Astyanax mexicanus: one gene and its partner. The protein of the gene in region 1 interacts with the protein of each later gene in a pairwise test. Links are inferred from orthologs where the notes say so. Each region holds a gene or a part of one and is shown on either strand. Other genes may lie near its edges.

Region 1 (10,674 bases):
AGCTAATGTTCTCTATATTATAATTAAAAATAAATAAACAAACAAAAAATGTGGAATTTGGCCAACAGTGAATTTTGCAGGGCATTTATATAATAGAACATTTGCAAGAACAACTTTACAACTCTTTCCTATTTCCCTCCGTCCTATTTCGCTGTCAGGTCAAAACTTGCAAAAATGGAGATACTAGGTTTTGATTTCTTGACAAAACTTAAAATCAGGAGGTTGTTCTTAACATTGTCTCAAACTTTCATGTTGAATGGGGCAGCAGAAATGGTTAAATTTTTTTTTAAATCTTTTTACACTTTTCTACTTAGAATTAAGAAGTTTCCTATAAAGTGCATTTTTAAGGTAAGCATTGGGAATGCACAACAAGCTGCAATAAATGTGAGTATTCAAACTAGTGACGTCTTTAACAGGAGTTAAACATCGCTCAGGGAGTAACACAACAAGAGTGAGACTTTGGCCTTCCACAGTCAACGTGTGACGTGTCGTGTGTATAAACTGTGGACATCACTGCTCACCTAGCTAGTCTGCTAGTTAATATTACAGTACCTCAATAATGTATTACCATTATAATCTATTATAGTTTTATAGAGGTCTCAACAGCTACATAAAATTGGTAAACCTTACGTAGGATATCCACGGATCCCATGGTCACTGGAGCAAAACTTGGTGTCCTTAGTGCAATCTACTTTTACAACATAGATGGGAGGAGTCTCCATACTGTTGTATTTGTCTGCCAGCTCATTCCATGTTCCCTGTAGCCTCTGGCAATGACCACACCTGTACAAGACAAAGCACAGAATACAATGTTAAAACCTCCTGGGGGCATGCGTTTTTATGCTAAATAAACAGTGTTTATTGGAAGGGTTTTTATTTGAGACCTTATACTAGACTTTTAATGTACCTTTAGTAAATGCAATTAATTGTACCTAAGCTGTTTCACCTGTGCTTTATCCATTTGTGCTTCACTTTAAAATTTCAGCTTAGGATTTACTCCACTACATCTGAGTCAAATATATCAATATTGTTATTTTGATACTTGTGTCCACACTTAAGCAAAAAAATAATTATAATAACTTATTTAAGCAAGAGACTTTCTTAGAGAAATTATATTAGAACATAAGAGCCTTACAAAATAACATTTATTTTACTTTCAAAACTTTGTCCTTCTACTTTTAATACACTGCAAAAAAATCTTCAAGGCTAATCTTATTTTCTTCATTTTTTTGTCTTACTTATTGTGTAAGCAAGTGTAAAATTGTTTAGATTATTTATGGAATAATGATTTTAAATCAGTCTTCCTTAGAATTTTAAGAAATTTGAACATGAAATAACAAAAATCACCACCAAAGTTATTTTGTAATTCGTGTCCAATTTTTTTTTTTTCGTGTCTAAATATTACTAAGAAAAATTTGCTTAATATAAGCTAGGGCTGGAAGGTTAATCGAGTTACTGTTTTAATGCGATTTTCAAATTGGCATAATTAAGATTTAACACCATTACATATAGAAGCTTCAGATGGAGTAGATGGACATTTGCTTCTATCAGGAACCTGTAAAGAACTATTTTATGAGGCAGTGATTTACATGGTTTACACTTTTTTTCTTAACTGAAATACAAGGACGTTATATTTGTTTAATATAAATCTGCATGTATGGTTTACTGCTAACTATTCTTTAAAAAAAAGGTACATTAAATGTAAAGAAAATAACAGCTTGCACATCATATAAAATTGTGCTGTGTGTTTACAAATAAAACAAGAAATTAAATTGTAATCGAAATTCATTCTTGTACCTGGAGGACAGTTTTTTCCCTTTTATCTCTCCTTCAGCTCAAGTAACTAGTGATACGTTTTAGGTACTTTTTTTCTTGGGTTTCTGCTCTGTATTTAAAAACACATATTTGTGCCATGTTTGGATCAGTATGAAGTGTTTTGGTAGGTCTTTTATTTTATTTCTTATTTTTACTGCTTCTTGCCACGTGTACTGAAACTTCTCATACTGAATGAACTGTGAACTCCTTGGCTTAGCCGGCTTGGAGTGCTAGCTGGCTAGGATAGCTCATCTGCTAGCTAACGTTACAACTGCAGTTTTTGAGTTTACCCTTCCTGCTAACGTGGATATGCTAACAGTTTATATGGTTTAAAGGCTAACGTTTAAACAGAAGGATTATAAGAGCTCTCGAAAAAGCCCATAAAGCACAGCCTGAACACTTTTTCAGTTTAGCTAACCTAGCTTAGCTTAGCTGCACACAATCCGTTAGCCCTCTATGGCATGAACTATCATTTTGGAACCTTGAGAGTCCTTGTGGATGCAGATAGTAACGGTAACGTTAAATGTTAAAGTTTGACTTTTAATCACAAGCTGGATCAATTAAATCAGGTGTCCCAAAACATGCGACGTTTCCAGGGCAAGATATAAGAGAACCACTGCCTCTTCATGATTAATGTAATACAAGTTGACTAACTGCACAAGGTAACAAATAACAATAAAAATTACAACATGAACGTAAGGATATAAACAATATAAATATACATATTTCTTCACGTATTCTTGCACAAACACATTTTAAATGTATAACCCACTTGTACACCTCATTGTACAGAACATGAGTTTTTTTTATCAATAATCTATATAATCAGTCACCATCAATCTAATCTCACCATCTCACCATCAATCTAACCTATCTATCTAACCTATCTATCTATCTATCTCTGTTATCTATCTGTTATCTATCTATCTGTGTTATCTATCTATCTATCTATCTGTTACACAGTGACAGACATATACATAAACAGACAGACAGACATACATATAGTTATATAACTTAAATAGTTAGATAAATGATATAGATAGATAGATAGATAGAGATAGATAGATAGATAGAGATATATAGATACATTATATAGATAGAGATAGATACATTATATAGATAGAGATAGATACATTATATAGATAGAGATAGATACATTATATAGATAGAGATAGATACATTATATAGATAGAGATAGATACATTATATAGATAGAGATAGATACATTGCATAGATAGAGATAGATACATTATATAGACAGAGATAGATACATTATATAGATAGATAAATACATTATATAGCTAGATTGATAGATAGATACATTATATAGATAGATACATTATATAGATAGATACATTATATAGATAGATAGATAGATAGATAGATAGATAGATAGATAGATAGATAGATAGATAGATAGATAGATATTGTGCCATAGACAGACATACTGATACTTATATAGACAGATAGGTAGGTAGGTACTTTGCCATTGAGGATTAGCTAAGCTAGTTAGTTAGCTAGCTAGCTGGCTAGCTAGCTACATAACGCTATCTTAGCATGGAAAGTAGTTGCTAGGCACTTTAGCTAAGCTAGCTAGCTGGCTAACATAACTCTTCTGTTAGACGTTTGTAAACACGCTAAACTCATTTTAACGTGAAATTGAATCAGAAATACAACGTTAAACTCGAATACGCACACTGTTGCCCTTTTGATAATTACGGCGGCTGAGCTAAAGCCAGTCTCTGCAGCTGTAAAGCCGGCTGGAGCTAAGCAGAACCCGGCTGCAGTAGTAGAAGATCTCTGTAGTTAACTTTACCACGGAGCGAAGAACATCACGAAGTGTGGAGCTGTCGGAATCGCGTCGTTAAACATCTCCACAGTGTACGTGTGCTTCGCGTGCTCGTCCTCCTCCGTCTCATTATCGCACAGTATCGTACCGAACAGTAATACACAATAAATACTACTGATTAAAACCCGGGGCATCTTCAGAGCTGAGGTGGCCATGATTCCGTCGAGCTGGAGCAGAGGCGCTCACTCTCTGCTAAAGCTATAAAAACCTCTACTACAGCAGATCTGCAGCTGCAGGGATGGTCCTGGATCACATCGAGACCTGCTGGGTATGAGTTGGAGGTCTGTGGTGTTGTTCAGGAAGCTTGCTGGCACTGTCTCATACGTGGGATCACCTCTTACTTTTTACAGCATTTTACAACTTTTTAAAAGTCACAGAAGCTGTGAAAAAACTATTTTCTTTATTATTTTTCAAGTTTCAAGTTTCAAACATGTACAGTGCCAGTCAAAATGTTAGACAAACGTCTTCTATTCCAATGTGTTTTTTTTCTTTTCGTGATGTTTTACATAGTAAAATTAATACTGAAGATATTAAAACTATACCAGAGCACATGTGATGTTTTTATATTCTTCTAAGTACCAGTGTCTTCAAGAGGAGGAGTCACCTGGAACAGTTTTCACAGCCTTGAAGGAGTTCCTGGAGGTGCTGAACAATATTGTTGCTGCTATCACTTCGGGCTATGAAGCTCCATCTCAATTGATCAGATTTGATCAGTAGATTGTGGAGAACAAACACTTTTTAATTTACTGCTTAGTTCCATATGTGTCCCCAAAAATAAATTAAAATAATAAAGAAAGAAGGAACATTGAATAAGAAGGTATGTCCAAAGGTTTGTCTGTTACTGTATATAGATTATATGAATTAAATTACACATTTGTTTAATTGTGTAAAAGTGCACTGCTGTGATAAAAATAACCCTGGCCAGTCCAAGCTGATAAACCAGCATTACCAGCTTCACCAAGTTAGGTCACCAGCTTCACCAGGTTAAATGTCCAGTGTCACCAAGCTGGTTGACCAGCATGATCATCAAGACCGGCCTGGACAGCAGTGCCAAAGTTTTTCATCAACCTTAACGTCAAAGACCAGCTTGGACCATTCAGTTCCTAGCAAAAGCTGATCTTGAGTTAAAGTTTTTAACAGGGTGAATACAGAAATAGTTTATGAAAGTATCTGCTTGTTTATGTGTTTACATGTATTTGCATACACGAGAACAACAGTGGCCGGCTGACAAATGGCCTAGATGGTGAGCAATTTGTCAAAACAACAAACCTGTTTCTATTAGTCCAACAATGAGCCCATTCTCAAAGTTTGTCAACTGGCAAAAAGGTTTTGGAGTGCATTGTAGAGGCATGTCTAGGAGTCAACATTCTTTCACCAAGAGGTAAACTACCCAAAAGTAACCTCTGAGATATTTTTATATGGCACCAAGCAGAAGGCCATATAATTAATTGTTTAAACACTAACTGAATGAATAAACAATTGGAAATAGGTATTCCAGCTAACATAGAATGTTATAAGAATGTTTAGCAACATTTAGAAAAGTTCCAAGAAGGTTAGGCTGTAACGTTATAGAAAATATGTTCTAAGGACATAAAGAAAACTTGACAGACTGAATGCTCTAAGGATGTTAACGTTTGTAACATTTAGAAAATTGTTAGATTGGTATGCTGCTGGTTGTTTAGAATAAAAACCCAATGTGAAACAAGGAACAACACTAATGGGATTTGAGCCTCAAGATGGCTTCATAGATACACAAGATTTAAGACAACCAGGAAAAGTAATTATTGTAAAACTCAGAAATGTGTTTTTCAGAAAAGATATCTAACATTTCAGGAGGTGCTAAAACTCTTTTCCACAATCCTACCACAGGTTTTATATGTTTTACATGCAAAAAATCAAGACATCATTGCCATAACTTGGAATAGTTTTAGGCCAGTGGAAGTGACTCACAAAACAAACTGATATGGAAACAAACTTAGACATAGCCATAGTTTCTTGCCATGGATATTTATGTTGTATTTGGCTTTCATGTTCTTTTAGGTTTGAATTCTAACTAGCAGAAACTTGTCTTGAAAAGACATTGCAAGTCTAAACACATACAGGCCCATACTTCAAAGAGGGGTATGTATGGCAGCCCTCAGGCACCAATGTTGGTGTCCACCTCTCTTCTTTTGCTTTTCTACCACATGCTGTTGAATGCTGGTGACTTCACTCCTTTACTTCAGCACTTCCAGATCAGATTCACTCTCTGCTCCAATATCAACATGTCAGATATGTGTGAATCAGGAATAAAACTCAAAACCCCTCTGCTGCTCTGAGACTCTGAGGTACTTAAGTATGTCCACATTTTGCTTTGGCTCTACAGCTACAACAAACATGCCCAGTTTCACTCACTATAGCCATTAGCACTTCACAATTACAAGAGCTTTGGCAACAGGGGTCCATGTCAGGGAATCTGCCATGGAAGATGGCTACCCCTTGCTGGCACAGAATGTGAGTCATTAGAGCAAAACAAGTCCATCAAATGCAAGAAAAGTTGAGTGATGTGAAGGAGCTTCTTCAGAAAGAAGATCTATCTGTCTGTAAGTATGGTCTCAAAAGATTGCAATGGAGGCTGTGCGGACTATGCAGACAACAAAATGTAGTAAACATCAGCTTTATATGACCTAATTTTCCAACCATGGAATATTTAATGCATTTATTTAATGCATATTTTGATAAGCACTGGGTTATTGATCACAGGGTTGTGGGTTTGATTCATATGTGTCTGTTAAGCTACCATTGGTGATTCACGTGGTAAAGGGTTGATACCTTTGTCCTTTTGCCGCCACTGTTTATCACTGTTTCTTGGATATGGGTTTGATACCTATGTTCCTAAGCTTCCACTTTTGATTAAATGTGTTTAATACCCATGTTCTTTAATCCACCATTGTTGATACCTTTGGGGTTAGAGCCCTGGGCTATAGATTACAGGATTGTGGGTTTGATGCAAGTGTCTGTTAAGATGCTACTGTTGATCACATGGTAATGATTGTGATACTTTTGTCCTTTAAGCTGCCACTTTTAAACACAGGGTTGTAAGATTGATACCTATATCTTCTAAGCTGCCACTGGTGACCACATGGTAATGGTTGTAATACTTTTGTCTTTTAAGCTGCCACTGTTAAACACAGGGTTGTAAGTTTGATACCTATATATTTTAAGCTGCCACTGGTAATCACATGGTAATTGGTTTGATACATTTGTGCTTTAGCTGCCACTGTTTATCACTCTTCATGGTTATGGGTTTGATACCTATGTTCTTAAGCTGCCCCTTTTAAGCGCAGAGTTAAGGGTTTGATACCCATGTTCCTTAAATGATCACTGTTGATGCCTTTGGGGTTAGAGCCCTGGGCTATAGAATACAGGATTGTGGGTTTGATTTAAGTGTCTGTTAAGCTGCCACCGTTGATCACTTGGTAATGGATGTGATACATTTGTCCTCTAAGCTGCCACTTTTAAACACAGGGTTATAAGTTTAATACCTATGTCTCCTAAGCTGCCACTGGTGATCACAAATGTGGTAATGTGGTTCAAATCTATGTCATCTAAACTACCTTAGTGGTCAGAGAATTGGGTTATTGATTACAGAGTTATGGATTTGATGCTTGCATCTGCAAAGCTGCTAATGTTGATAACAGAGTCGGCCACTGTTGGACCCTTAAAGGTTAGAGCACTAGGTTATTCATTACAGGGTTATGAGTTTGATACTTACTGTATGTTCCCTAAGCTACCACTGTTGCTCACACATTTTTATGGGTTTCGATACCTGTGTCTACTTAGCCAGGCCTTGTGACCTCGTGCTCTGTTCTGTACAGGTGTATTCACAATATGTTTACTTCAGTTAATTTAGTAATAATCAATTAAACAAGCACCCAGGTTTTTTCCAGCTGCTCGTTGAGTTCTAAACTGTTTTGTTAAAGAAGGTAAACCAAAAAACATCTGGCTAAAGGCTTCTCATAAAAAAGTGAACAGTTTTATCCAGGTTAAGTAAGTCAAAGCTGCCCACTGACATTAAGTTTTGGTAAACGTAGAGCTCCTCCTCTCTTTGATGCTGGTTGAACATGTTGCAAGGCACTTAAGCAGACCTACAGTGCATCAAGGTTTGTTTTTATTTTCCCCTTGAAAAGAAATTACAGATGTTGTCACTTACTACTCTCATGGAAAATGACCCTGCTTGGCTGAAGGCGGTGGGACTCCGCCAGACTGAGGGGGCCAAGTCTCCAAACAGATGCACAGTGTTTTTCTTAGAGATGATTTGTTCTGTTCCGTTTTGATGGCTGTCCAACCATAACGGCTCCTCAATGCACACTGCAGGTTCAAAGATGGAGAGTATTGCTGTACACAGCCTGGAACAGGTGTACATTCAGTAGTGTGTGTTTGTGTGTGTGTGGTAGGGGGCAGTTTGAGCAAATGTATGTATATTTTAATGTAATGTATTGAGATGTATGTTTGTTAAAGGTATGTTTCCCTAAGTGTACAGTTCTTAAAATGAAGGTGATGAAGAAATGCCATGTTCTAAAATGGTTCTTTAAAGGTCATTCTCAGATGTTCATGTGTAAAGAACCTTTTTTAAAGTTTAAAGAGTTCCCACATACAATGTAAAAAGTTAAGCTGCTTAAAAAGGTTATTTGAGTAATGTCATGGAAGAAGAGCCAGTATCAGAATATAGTGTAAAAACCGTAAAATAGGGGTGCCGAATGGTCCAGCTCCCCCCCAGGTGGGTAGATGGCGCTCTCTCCCCACATCACTCCCAGGGTGATGTCCGCAGCACAGGGCGTCTGTGAGCTGATGTACCGGATCCGAGCCGCTGCGCTTTCCTTCAAGCGCGCCGGCTGCTCGGCAATACTGCATCAGCTCGAAAAGAATAGGTGTGTTGGGGCATTACTAGTGATAGGAGGAGTCCTAGTGAGTGGGTTGGGTAATTGGCCGTGTAAATTGGGGAGAAAATGGGGGAAAAAAAACAAACAAACGTAATATATATATATATATTTTTTTTTTTTGACAAATTATCAAATTAGCCAGTCATTAGCCACACTGATAATGTTTCATATTTTCTGTTTTACATTAATCCAGTTAAAACCAATTCCATCTTTCTGCTTCCTCCGAGTTCTTGACTGCCCACCAGTGCAGCCCGATACCAATGGATGTTAGACCCTCAGGCTCTCCTGTCCCCTGTTCAGCCGGACTGATAGAAGTTTCTGAAAGTCAGCCTTCCCATTACCCACCACAGTTTAGCTGCCCAGCATTCAGTTCTTGCAACATGCCTCGGACTAGCTGCTGACTCTCCACTACAGATCACATCCAAATTTATATGAACTCTAACTGCTTTCATAGCTGGTGCTGTTATAAAACTGAATATATTAGACCTGTGTGGATGTATAATGACTAAAATTCATTAAAAGGTTGTTAGACTGTGGTAGGATGGTCCCCTCTTACATTTGAGTCTTGGTCCTCCCAAATTTTCTTCCTCCTGTATGTTTTGTAGTGTATTGTAGTGTTTTGTCTGATTCTCTGTCCTGTAAACCTGCTTTGTGACAAACATTTGATTTAATAAGATTTCAGAGTGCACAGAATAGCAAAAACTGCTCATGGTGACATTGTTCTGTTGTATAGATATTTGGGAAATATTAGGTAAAATCTATATTATTAATTGCTAAATAATGCAGTAAGTGTCTTCAGTCCTTTGAAAGGAAAACACTGTAAAGGTTGTGCTGTCACTGATTTCTTAAAGGGGACGTTCTTGGAGATGATTAAATTGCTTGATATTTTCATGAAAATAGCTAAATAAATAATTGAAATGCATAATTGAAGTAGGAAATATTGACCCTTTTTGCATCAGTAAAGATCATAATGTAATGAGTTAGAGTGAACAACCTTTTAAAGATATATATAGAACCTTCAGGTGAACCATCCTTATAGATCCAGTAAGTAAGCCAGTTAAGCAATAGTTTAGTCTGTGTGTGTGTGTGTGTGTGTGTGTGTGTGCCTGCTAGTGTTTCTAGCTTCTTTTCCCTCTAAGGAGCAGTCAATGGGACAGTCTTGCCATGCCTCACTGTTCACAGGGTCACCACAGAGGCCATTAAGTGGCTGTACTGGTGGAATAATGTGTTTTCTTTGGCCAGAGGGAAGCAGCAGGTGCAGTCAGCCTCAGCTCCAGTCCAGCTCTTTCTTCAGCTTTGATCTTCCAGTCTCCCAGAGGCCCTGGATCTCCTACACTGGTGCTTCCAACATTAATTCAGCTCCGACTGACTGAATGCACTGGTTTACAGCAGTTTATGTAGAAATAAATAGGCAAATTCTAATGCATGGCAGACCAAAAAGAATAAGCTACAACCCTACAGTAGCTACTATATACCACTGTTGGACAAAACTTTATGTATTCATTTTAATTTAATGTGAACCTGGTGCTTGTACTTTAGATTGTGACTAAAATAAATGATGAATTAAACAACAAAAATGCTCCAAAATTATTTATAAAGTTTAAGTCTTCTCCCAAGTTAATAAGAGTCATAGAGCTTGGGAAAAAGCTGGAGAACTCACATTTCTTGCGGTGCCCAAACTCATGCATGATGCTTGTTTTTTTTTTATCGCTCTAAATTTATGCTTGCTTAAAATTGTTGAAAAGAATGTTTCCAATTTAACTTAATAACTTTAGATCAGTGTATCGTCTTTTCGGTTTACTCTTCATGGTAACATAACTTTTGCAAAAAGAAATTATTTTTGTTTTAATCTTTTTACCCTTAAACTCTTTGTGTTTTTTTTTTATATAAATTACCCTTTTTTTAAATTGCTGGACATATGAAATGCATGCCTCACTTTGTGATGTTTATTTGTGCACATGAGGCAGAGATTAATACTTTTTAAGGCCCCTTTTTTAAGACAATGTAACACAGATTTCAAAAACCACAGCAGTGTCAGTGTTTCATAAGGGCAAAAAAGTAATGACATTAACACCAATAAATTTGTGT
Region 2 (9,650 bases), on another chromosome or scaffold:
GTGAGGTTGCTAAATAGTTGCTATGTGGTTGCGACTGGGTGGTTGCTATGTGCTATGGTGTACCAGGTGGTTGCTAAGTTGTTGCTAGTTTGTTGCTAGGCTGTTGCTATGAAGAGATTTGGGTGAAACTATTTTTGTATAACAGGAGGTTGCTAGGCTGTTATTATGTGGTTACCAAGGTAAAACTGATTTTACTAGGTGGTTGCTATGGGGTTGCTGGGCTAGTTGCAAGGCTGTTAATACATGGCCTCTAGGGTGAAAATAGTTTAATAAGGAGCTTGCAATGTATGCCAGGTGGCTGCTATGAGGTTGCTAAGTAGTTGCTTTGTGGTTGCCATGTGATGTGGCATACCAGCTGGTTGCTAAGTTGTTGCTATGTGGTTAACAGGGTGGAAGATTTATTAGGTGGCTGCCATGGTATACCTGGTGGTTGCGGTTGCTATGGGGTAGCTGTAAAAATACTCACTATGGTGAAACTGTTTTTGTTAGGTGGCTGCTATGGTGTGCCATTTAGTTGCTATGGAGTTGCTAGGTAGTTTTTTAGGCTGTTGCTGTTTGGTGATTTGGTTGAAACTATACTTTTGCTAGACTGTAGCTATAGTGTAAAATAATATGGGGTTGCTAGGACGTTACTATGCGGTTACCAGGGTTAAAACTTCCATGGTATAACAGGTGGTTGCTATGGGGTTAATAGGGAGATGCAAAGTATTTACACTCAAATTCCGGTTAAAAAAGGCTGTATATACTTAAATAGACGTAAAGCAGTATAATAAAAATGTCAAAATCAATGAAATTAGTTACAGTAGAAGCTGCTTACTTAAAAACAAGCACCACAGTGACCTACAGAACCAGTACCGACCTTCACTAAAGCCTCCACCTGATGGAGGAGGATGGGTTTATTGCAGAACTCCACCAGGGGCTTGGGCACGCTCAGGGTGAGGGGTCTTAATCTGGTGCCGTAGCCCCCGACCAGAATCAGAGCTTTCATTGTGGGAGGAGAAACGAGGCGTCAGAAGTGGGAGGACTTGGGCAGGAAGCACAGGAGCATCAGGTAGGACGAGCTTCCAGCTTCACCTGCGACACAGTGAAGGAGGAGGAGCTCAGAACTGGGCTGGATGACACACTTTGTCTATTGTCTATTGTTGTATATAATAAGTGATCTTCCTGACAGATGATAGTATGAGTGTCAGGCCTTCGTATAATCTATAATGTACTTACAGGGGTTGGACAATGAAACTGAAACACCTGTCATCATTTTAGTGTGGGATTTTAGGTTTCATGGCTAAATTGGAGCAGCCTAGTGTTCAATCTTCATTAATTGCACATTATTGCACCAGTAAGAGCAGTAAGAGTGTGAAGGTTCAATTAGCAGGGTAAGAGCACAGTTCTGCGCAAAATATTGCAATGCACACATTAAAACATTATGTGAGACATACCAGAGTTCAAAAGAGGACAAATTGTTGGTGCACGTCTTGCTGGAGCATCTGTGACCAAAACAGCAAGTCTTTGTGATGCAGCATCAAGAGCCACGGTATCCAGGGTAATGTCAGCATACCACCAAGAAGGACCAACCACATCCAACAGGATTAACTGTGGACGCTGTAAGAGGATGCTGTCTGAAAGGGATGTTCGGGTGCTAACCCGGATTGTAACCAAAAAACATAAAACCACGGCTGATCAAATCACGCAGAATTCAATGTGCACCTCAACTCTCCTGTTTCCACCAGAACTGTCCGTCACCACAATCAATTACTGTGCTCTAAAACCAGGTGTTTCAGTTTCATTGTCCAAGCCCTGTATGTTTATATACTGTATTTATGAGTAAAGGCCCAATGCCCAATGATTTCATATTAGGGCCATATCGCCCACCCCTTTCTAACACCCACACAAATAATCTGGCATGGTGATGAATATTGAATATAAGCAGGAGGAGCTTTTGAACAGCTTTAGAGGCAGACACACCCAAAACACACCCTACATATCCTAGTGACTGTTTGTCAGTGGTAAAATGGAGACGTGATGCAAGAAATATGTAAACTATTCCACTGGAAAACGATTAGCCTACGTCATTATACGGCCTCTGTTCCAGTGTCGCCAAACTGGATCAGAAGTGCCTGGCCAGGTCAAACTTGTCAAACTACAACTATACTGTTAAAAGTATGAAATCTTCATACTGAAACTGTGAAGGAACCTAATGAAGATTCTTCAGTGTTCCTTAAGGCGCTTTAAAGCCCTATCCTATTCTACTCAGTGCTAAAACTTTTACATCCAGACTGCAATTGAAAAAACAGGAGGATCAGTGAGTTTTTTTTAGGCTTTTTTTTTTTAGGAGTTCAGTAGCTCCTCCATTTCCACTCGCTGTTGTGTTTACAGTAAGTGGATCTCCATGGAAACGAGAGCCCAAAGTATAATTAAATTGCATGGCAGTGGACAAATAGCTATTTTATTAAATGTGAGGAGACGAAACTCAGAGATGTGCGTCTGGACGGAACTAATATTACCGGAGGACCACGGAGTTCAGAGAAAAACAGTAGATAATTCAGCCTGTAATTTTCTCAGAAGACAGAGAAAAACACGTACATGATCGTTCCGGACAGGAATACAATTACAGAGGATAAAAAAGCCCCCCATAAAAGAGAAAATTAAATCAGAACCCCCTGAGAAACGAATCCCATCGTCCAAAAAGAGCTTAAGAGTTTCCTTCAAACTTTTAAAGTGAAGAAAACTTTGAATTCACTATTTTGACATCTACAAAAAAACTGAGTTATTTGAGTTTGATGGTTTAGGTGGTCAACCTGGATGTCCACATTGATCTTGGTATTGTCAAACAACATGAACACCCTGCCATAATTATTTATCATGCTCACTGACCAGTTTGTTGTCCAGTTTGTCCAGAAACAGCTTGACCAAACTAGTTAACAAGCATGACTAGGTTAGTGACCAGCATTTTCAAGTTGGTTATGATGGTAGACTTGCTAATCTTGCTAAACCTGGCCATTACAGATCAGCTTAGACCACTCAAAACCAGGTTTCATGTTGCTAAGTTTCCGTCGGGATCAATAAAGTATCTATTTATCAGCAGAAGCTTGGAGCTGTTGTTGATCTGGAGTGGCCTGAAGGGTGTAGAGAAGCACAGGAATAGGAATTTATATCTTAATATCATGTTACATGTTACACTGTACAAAGGTGAAATCAGAAAGCCAGGCCTTAGCGTATAAACACAATATATATTCCATTATATTTACAATAAAAGGGATGCATGATGATCTCAGAATGATATTGGTATCGGCTGATAATTATTATTATTCTTTTTTTAGAATCATCGCCATCTGCCTATGTGTAGCTATTTTTAAACCAATACTTGCTGATGTATTTATTGTATGCTGGAAAAAGAAAATAATGGTATTATTATTACTATTAAAAACCCATATACTGTACCAGTCAAAAGTTTGGACCTCTTCTTAATCAGTGTGTTTTCTTTCTTTTTATGATTTTTTTCATCTTTTAATTAATATTAAAGATAATAATAATAATATTAAACAAAAAGTGTTAAACAAATTAGAATATACAGGATTGTAGAGAACTTTTTTTTTTACTATTTCCTACATAATTATGTTTAGTACATAATAGTTTTATGTGTTTATATTATATATTATATATTATATTAAACTATAAGCCAAATAAAATGAAGAAATAAAGAAAAACATTGATTGAGAAGGTGTGTCCAAACTTTAGACTGGTACTGTGTATACACTGTAGGTTATATATATATGCGTATGTATATACACACACATACACACTGTAGTCATTACAACTCATTAGCTAGTTAGCTAAGCTAAGCTATATAGTTAGCTGGCTAAGTTTAAACAAGTGTTTTAGACACATTTCTGTTTTTAAGAATATAGTAAATAATGTCTGAACTGAGCTGAACTGATGTTATTACTTTATATATATAATATTAATTAAGCTATAATAATAATAATTATTATTATTATAACGTTAATTATGATTATGGCATCATAACTTTATTATTAGCTAACCTAGCTAACAGCTATCAACTACACTGGTACACCTAACAACACAAACTCCCTTAAACAGTCAAACTACACAGTAAAGCGCAGTTATTACAATATTACAGTTATTACAGTACAGCTGATATTTATCTCAGTTATTAATATAAAACTATATCCAGGGAAAAGCTCTTACCACTGTGCTGCTGCTGCTGCTGCTGCTGCTGGACCTGTAGATTCGGTTCTGCTGAAATTCGGATCAGCTGGTTTAGATCAGAGTGAGGATCTGAATCAGTGCTGAGAGGAATAATTCAGATTATTAAAGAGTTCAGATTCTACACGAACTCTATAAAACTACTGACTTCATTCATTTAAACACCATCAGCGGCTCAGCTCCTCACTGCTGACAACACTACTGACCCGGACCAGGGGGCGGGGCCTCGACTGCTACGTACTGGGTCGACGGTCAGCGGAGCGTACCATTTATTACAAAGGGGATTGCACACATACTCATACTGAACCTACTGAAATTTTATTTGAGTTCCTTAAAAAATAATGGTGTATTTTTTTAACGTAAAAAAAATGGTGAGCACCAGATACTAAGTGGTGAGCACCACATCCTATAATAATAATAATAATAATAATAATAATAATAAAGGTTATTAAAGGTATTATTAGAGCTAGTATATCATCATCATATTATATTACAATTAGTTATGCCTCTGTGTTTAAAACATAAACTATATAAAAAGAATGATATTAATAATAAGGAGAAATCATATGTCTTTTATGTCTGCATAATTGTGCTGTATTTACAATAAATGCATTATAGTAAATAACATTTGTGAATTACAACTAAATGACAGTCAGTTTTAGTGGTGTTTAGCAAAAAAAAAAAAAAAGCAAAAAACTACTTGGAATAAAAAAGGGGAAATTATATATTATTTTTGTCTACTTTAAAAACGTGAATAATTTTTAGATAAAGATAACAGCAACACCTCCCAGAAGCCACAAAATATGTTGATGTATTTAAACAGTAACGGAATCGCAGTCCGCTTTGCTGCTGCTGCCGCTGTATTAATGATGGATCCCCCTCCGCCTGCAGTAAAGTGGTATGACCCGCAGTGTATGATTTGGCCGCGCCCCATTCGTCCTCCTCGCAGCCAATCAGTGAAGAACAGCGTGGCGCGGAAGCAGAAACGCCGCTGTCAAAACAAAAGCGACCAAAACAAACCGATTCATAAAAATTAAATACAGAGAAATTAAATACAGAGATTTTAAATGCATAAAAAATAAATACAGAGATTTTAAATACAGATAAATTAAATAAAGATAAATTAAATACAGATAAATTAAATGCAGAGATTTTAAATAAAGAGATTTTAATGTGGGGAACTAAAGTTCAGCTTTCTCTGCTCCCATAAATGGAGTCACACTTTTAGCAAAATACCACATTATTTACTGCAGTAAATGGAGGGGTAATAAACTCATTTTTCTCTGCTTTAAGAAAAAATTTAAATAAACAGGCCAAATGATAATAAATAGTAGGGTTAAACAGTTTCTGGTCATGTTGTTATCAATGGCTGAGGCAACTGTCTATTTCTAAATACACCAATAATTCAATTAAATACACTCACCAGAGTTTACTTATACTCCAGCAGGATTAAAAAGCTCTGCTTATAATATTTTAACCAGCAAATAAGTAAAACCAGAGTGAAATTTCCAATTAGTGTAAAATTAAAATAAAAATTAAAACACAGTAAGCTTTATTTTATTATTGATGTGAGCTCTTCATTAGCAGATATATCAGACTCAACTAATATGGGAAGGCTTTCCACAAGGTTTAGGAGTGTTTATTAAATATATTATTATATATTATATTATTGAAAAACAGTAATCAAGCCATGTTTTCACACTAATCTAACAAAAAACTTTTTTTTTCATAATACTATCTTTTATTCAAAGACAATTTGCCAATTATTAAATTACTTTGGTACATAGATATTTATATATTTTCTTGTAATTGAAAAAGGGTTATAATTGTATTTATAAAATATAATTTTGTAATGGTAAACTTTCATAATTACAGGAAGTTCTGTAATAAATATGGGTTTCTTTTAATTGTCAGTTATTTATTTATTCATTTATTTAGGCATCAGCAGATAAACACTTAAAACAATAAAAAGTATCAGAAACATGAATCAGCCCACGGTTTCAATCATATCAGAGCATCCTTAATTTTTTTTTTTTGTTGGTGCTGCTTTCAGTAAAAGTATGGTAAAAGCATTTAAACAGGAATAAAATGACGCAAGACAACAGTTTTCTTAAATAAATGTTTTTTAATAACACATTCAAAGATGTCATATATTTTCCTTAAAAAAATATCCATCCATGCAACAACAACAAAAGGGGAAATAAAGAAACTTTTTGGGTGATAGATTTTTCTCTACAGGTTCTACCTCACATCTATGGAAAGACCAGGAACATCCGCCACAGACGAGGCCACGTCAACTTCATCCCAGTCCCTTAAACAGACACAAGAGGCTGCAGATTCCCTTTTTCGCTTTTAGTAACATTAGCTTCTTTGACCAAGCTTTTCCTCTTAGACAAAACTCACAAAACACTTCAGACTGGGACAGTCAACGGTGCCAATAGTAAGCAAATCTAGTTTTGCACATTCTACATTTTGCCGTCCCACTGTGAAGTGCTTATGTGAACACTGACCCATTTTTTCTGTCCGATATCTGAAAAATATGTATTATTGTAAGAACATACACAGCAATATGGACTTTTTGCAAAGTCATTTACTTTATACATGTAAAACATACGTTTTTTAAGGGTTATGATCTACTAATGTACTGCGATACATTATCCCCTCAAATTTTACATTGTTTGACTGACTGAATCTGAGCAGAAAGTAGAGCTCTATATACCTTTAAGAACAAATATATATAATTTATTATATATACATTTCTATAAATTACTAAAGATTATTTATAATTAAAAAATTGTCTCCCAATTTAGCCTAAAATTTTGACTAGCATTTTGACTAGCAAACGACACATGTGAAGAGTAGCATCACAGCGCTAACGCTCGGAGGAAAGCGCAGCGACTCGGTTCTGATACATCAGCTCACAGACGCAGCCTTTTGCTGATCCACGTCACCCTAGGAGTGATGAGGGGAAAGAGAAAGCTCCATCTACTGTACTGTACCCACCAAGAGAGAGCAAGGCCAATTGTGCTCTCTCGGGGCTGCGACAGCAGATGGCAAGCTGCATGCCCAGGATTCGAACCAGCAATCTCCCGATCATAGTGGCAGCGCTTTAAACCACTAGGCCACTTTGTGCATCCCAATCCTGCTACGTGACTTAGAGACCTGACCCAAGTACATGTTGACTTATATTTATACACATATAAAGTAAATGACCTTGTATTTATATCTATCTTTCAAAGCATCCAAGCATACATTTCCATTTCAGTGTCCATATTCTCTTAATATTATAATTTTATGGCTGAAAAAGTGAAGAGACTAAAACAAAAACCCCACATTTCTTGCAAGGCTCCGTTTGTCTTTGGTGGAGCAAATAGAAATGACACATCATTGACCAATGACGTTCCTTTTTGGAAATATAATAGGACAGTTAATCTAATCTATAATCTAGACACATTAATATGGCTGATGGCCCCTCAGTCAGTGACTTATATTATATAATATAATACAAATATTACCAGGAGAGGTATCTCTATAGTAACTGGGGGAGTGGAGTAAAGGTGGAGGTCGGGTCGGGTTTGGTTGTGTACACAATATAACAACAATACTACACTGGTAATACCAATACAGTATATGCATGTATTAATATGCATTTCAATACAAAAATACGACCCGCCGGGGCCTGTGATGTGCCAGAGAGGGGGAGAGAAAAAAAAAACATAAAAATAAATAAAAAATTATTATTCCATCAATAATTGTCATCAAAAAGGGTAATGGCTACAGTGCAACTGTTCCACCTACACAGAGAACACCCTAACCACGGTGAAACTACGAGGAGACGAGGCTCCGCCCACGGTGACGGCAAGGGGACACGACGAGCTAAACGGTGAGGAAAGGTGGCGTTAGGATTTTTTCTTTAGTCTTCTTTAGTCTTTTCTTTATAAAGCTCTGGAAAAAATAAGAGAACCCTTAAAAATGATGAGTTTCTTTGATTTTACCAAATGAAAACCTCTGGAATATACTCAAGAGGAAGATGGATGATCACAAGCCTGAATTTTTGCACCAGGAGTAAAGGCACAAAGTTATCCAAAAGCAGTGTGTAAGACTGGTGGAGGAGAATATGATGCGATGAGATTTTAAAACCAGGGTTATTGCAGCAAATATTGATTTCTGAACTCTTAAAACTGCATGAATATGAACTTGTTTTCTTTGCATTATTTGAGGTCTGAAAGCTCTGCATCTTTTTTGTTTTTTATTTCAGACTTTTCTCATTTTCTGTAAATAAATGCTCTAAATGAGAATATTTTTATTTAGAATTTGGGAGAAATGTTGTCTGTAGTTTATAGAATAAAACAACAATGTTCATTTTACTCAAACATAAACCTATAAATAGCAAAATCAGAGAAACTGATTCAGAAACTGAAGTGACCTCTTATTTTTTTCCAGAGCTGTATATATGTATAAATATATATATATATATATATTATGTATATAAATATTTTTTCATGTATATAAATTGCATTGCTACATGTGCTGATGGAGGTGGATAAAGGATCACTGTGACGTAAAGTCAGTGTGGATTATTTCTGATGTTCTCAAGAATGAAAAGCTCTTGAGGGAAAGAAATGATGGGAAAACCATGCTGTCGGATGCGTTCCAAACATAGTCTACAGTGCAAAAGATAGGATGGTTAACTTTCAGCATAACCATATTTGACAGACTTTGAAACATCAACACAACAGTGATTATAATAATAATAATAATAATAATAATAATAATAATAATAATAATAATAATAATAATGATGAGGGTGACAAACATATGGATAAACATACTATACTGTCCCATTGACATGCCTAGGACTGTCAGTACTACCATAAACCAAAGAGGGACACTTTTATAATAATTATTATTATTACAAAAAAAGAAAAGAAAAGAGAAAAACCAAAAAAATAAGTGTAAAAAGCTATAAAAAAAAAAGAAAAAGCTAAAACACAATGTTGGCTCTAACTGAAGTGAATAAGTAAATAAAAGGGCTACAGAAACAGCAACATCATTTAAAAAAAAAAACTGAAACAAACAAACAGGCAAAATTAAAAAAAAAAAAAAGCATAAAAGCATGTGACCTCAAATGTGATAATTTTTTTTTTTTATCACACAGTCTCATTATGTATGGTAAATGTTGTTGCCAAAAGGCGAACTTCACCTTCTTATCCTTTTATTATTATTAATATTATTGTACAGACGGAAGGAGAGTGGGCGTGGCCTGAGCGAGGCCAGGTAAGCGTCATCATCATCTCTACCACCTCTCCTTATTTTTTACAGTAAAGCTTTCGCAAAAAAAAACAAAACATAACGAGCAAAAACTGCTCCCTTTAGGAATACTGACGTCGGGGAATTATATATAATCCGCCATATAATCCCCAACC

Evidence for each region. The genes of interacting proteins can lie anywhere in the genome.
Region 2: the proteins of txndc5 (region 1) and gmppb interact in a two-hybrid assay, tested with the Homo sapiens proteins (2 studies listed by BioGRID and IntAct). The two-hybrid records come from large-scale screens. The link is inferred for Astyanax mexicanus from reciprocal best matches to the Homo sapiens genes TXNDC5 and GMPPB.

What each region holds. Positions count from the first base shown.
Region 1 is NC_064408.1:107,745,464-107,756,137, reverse strand, and holds the start of txndc5 (thioredoxin domain-containing protein 5), read right to left. Parts: upstream 3,862-10,674; 5' UTR 3,820-3,861; coding exon 3,632-3,819; intron 784-3,631; coding exon 631-783; intron 1-630. UniProt on the Homo sapiens protein: Protein disulfide isomerase of the endoplasmic reticulum lumen involved in the formation of disulfide bonds in proteins. Can reduce insulin disulfide bonds.
Region 2 is NC_064431.1:3,041,283-3,050,932, forward strand, and holds the start of gmppb (mannose-1-phosphate guanyltransferase beta), read right to left. Parts: upstream 4,441-9,650; 5' UTR 4,207-4,440; intron 1,075-4,206; 5' UTR 989-1,074; coding exon 860-988; intron 1-859. UniProt on the Homo sapiens protein: Catalytic subunit of the GMPPA-GMPPB mannose-1-phosphate guanylyltransferase complex. Catalyzes the formation of GDP-mannose, an essential precursor of glycan moieties of glycoproteins and glycolipids. Can catalyze the reverse reaction in vitro.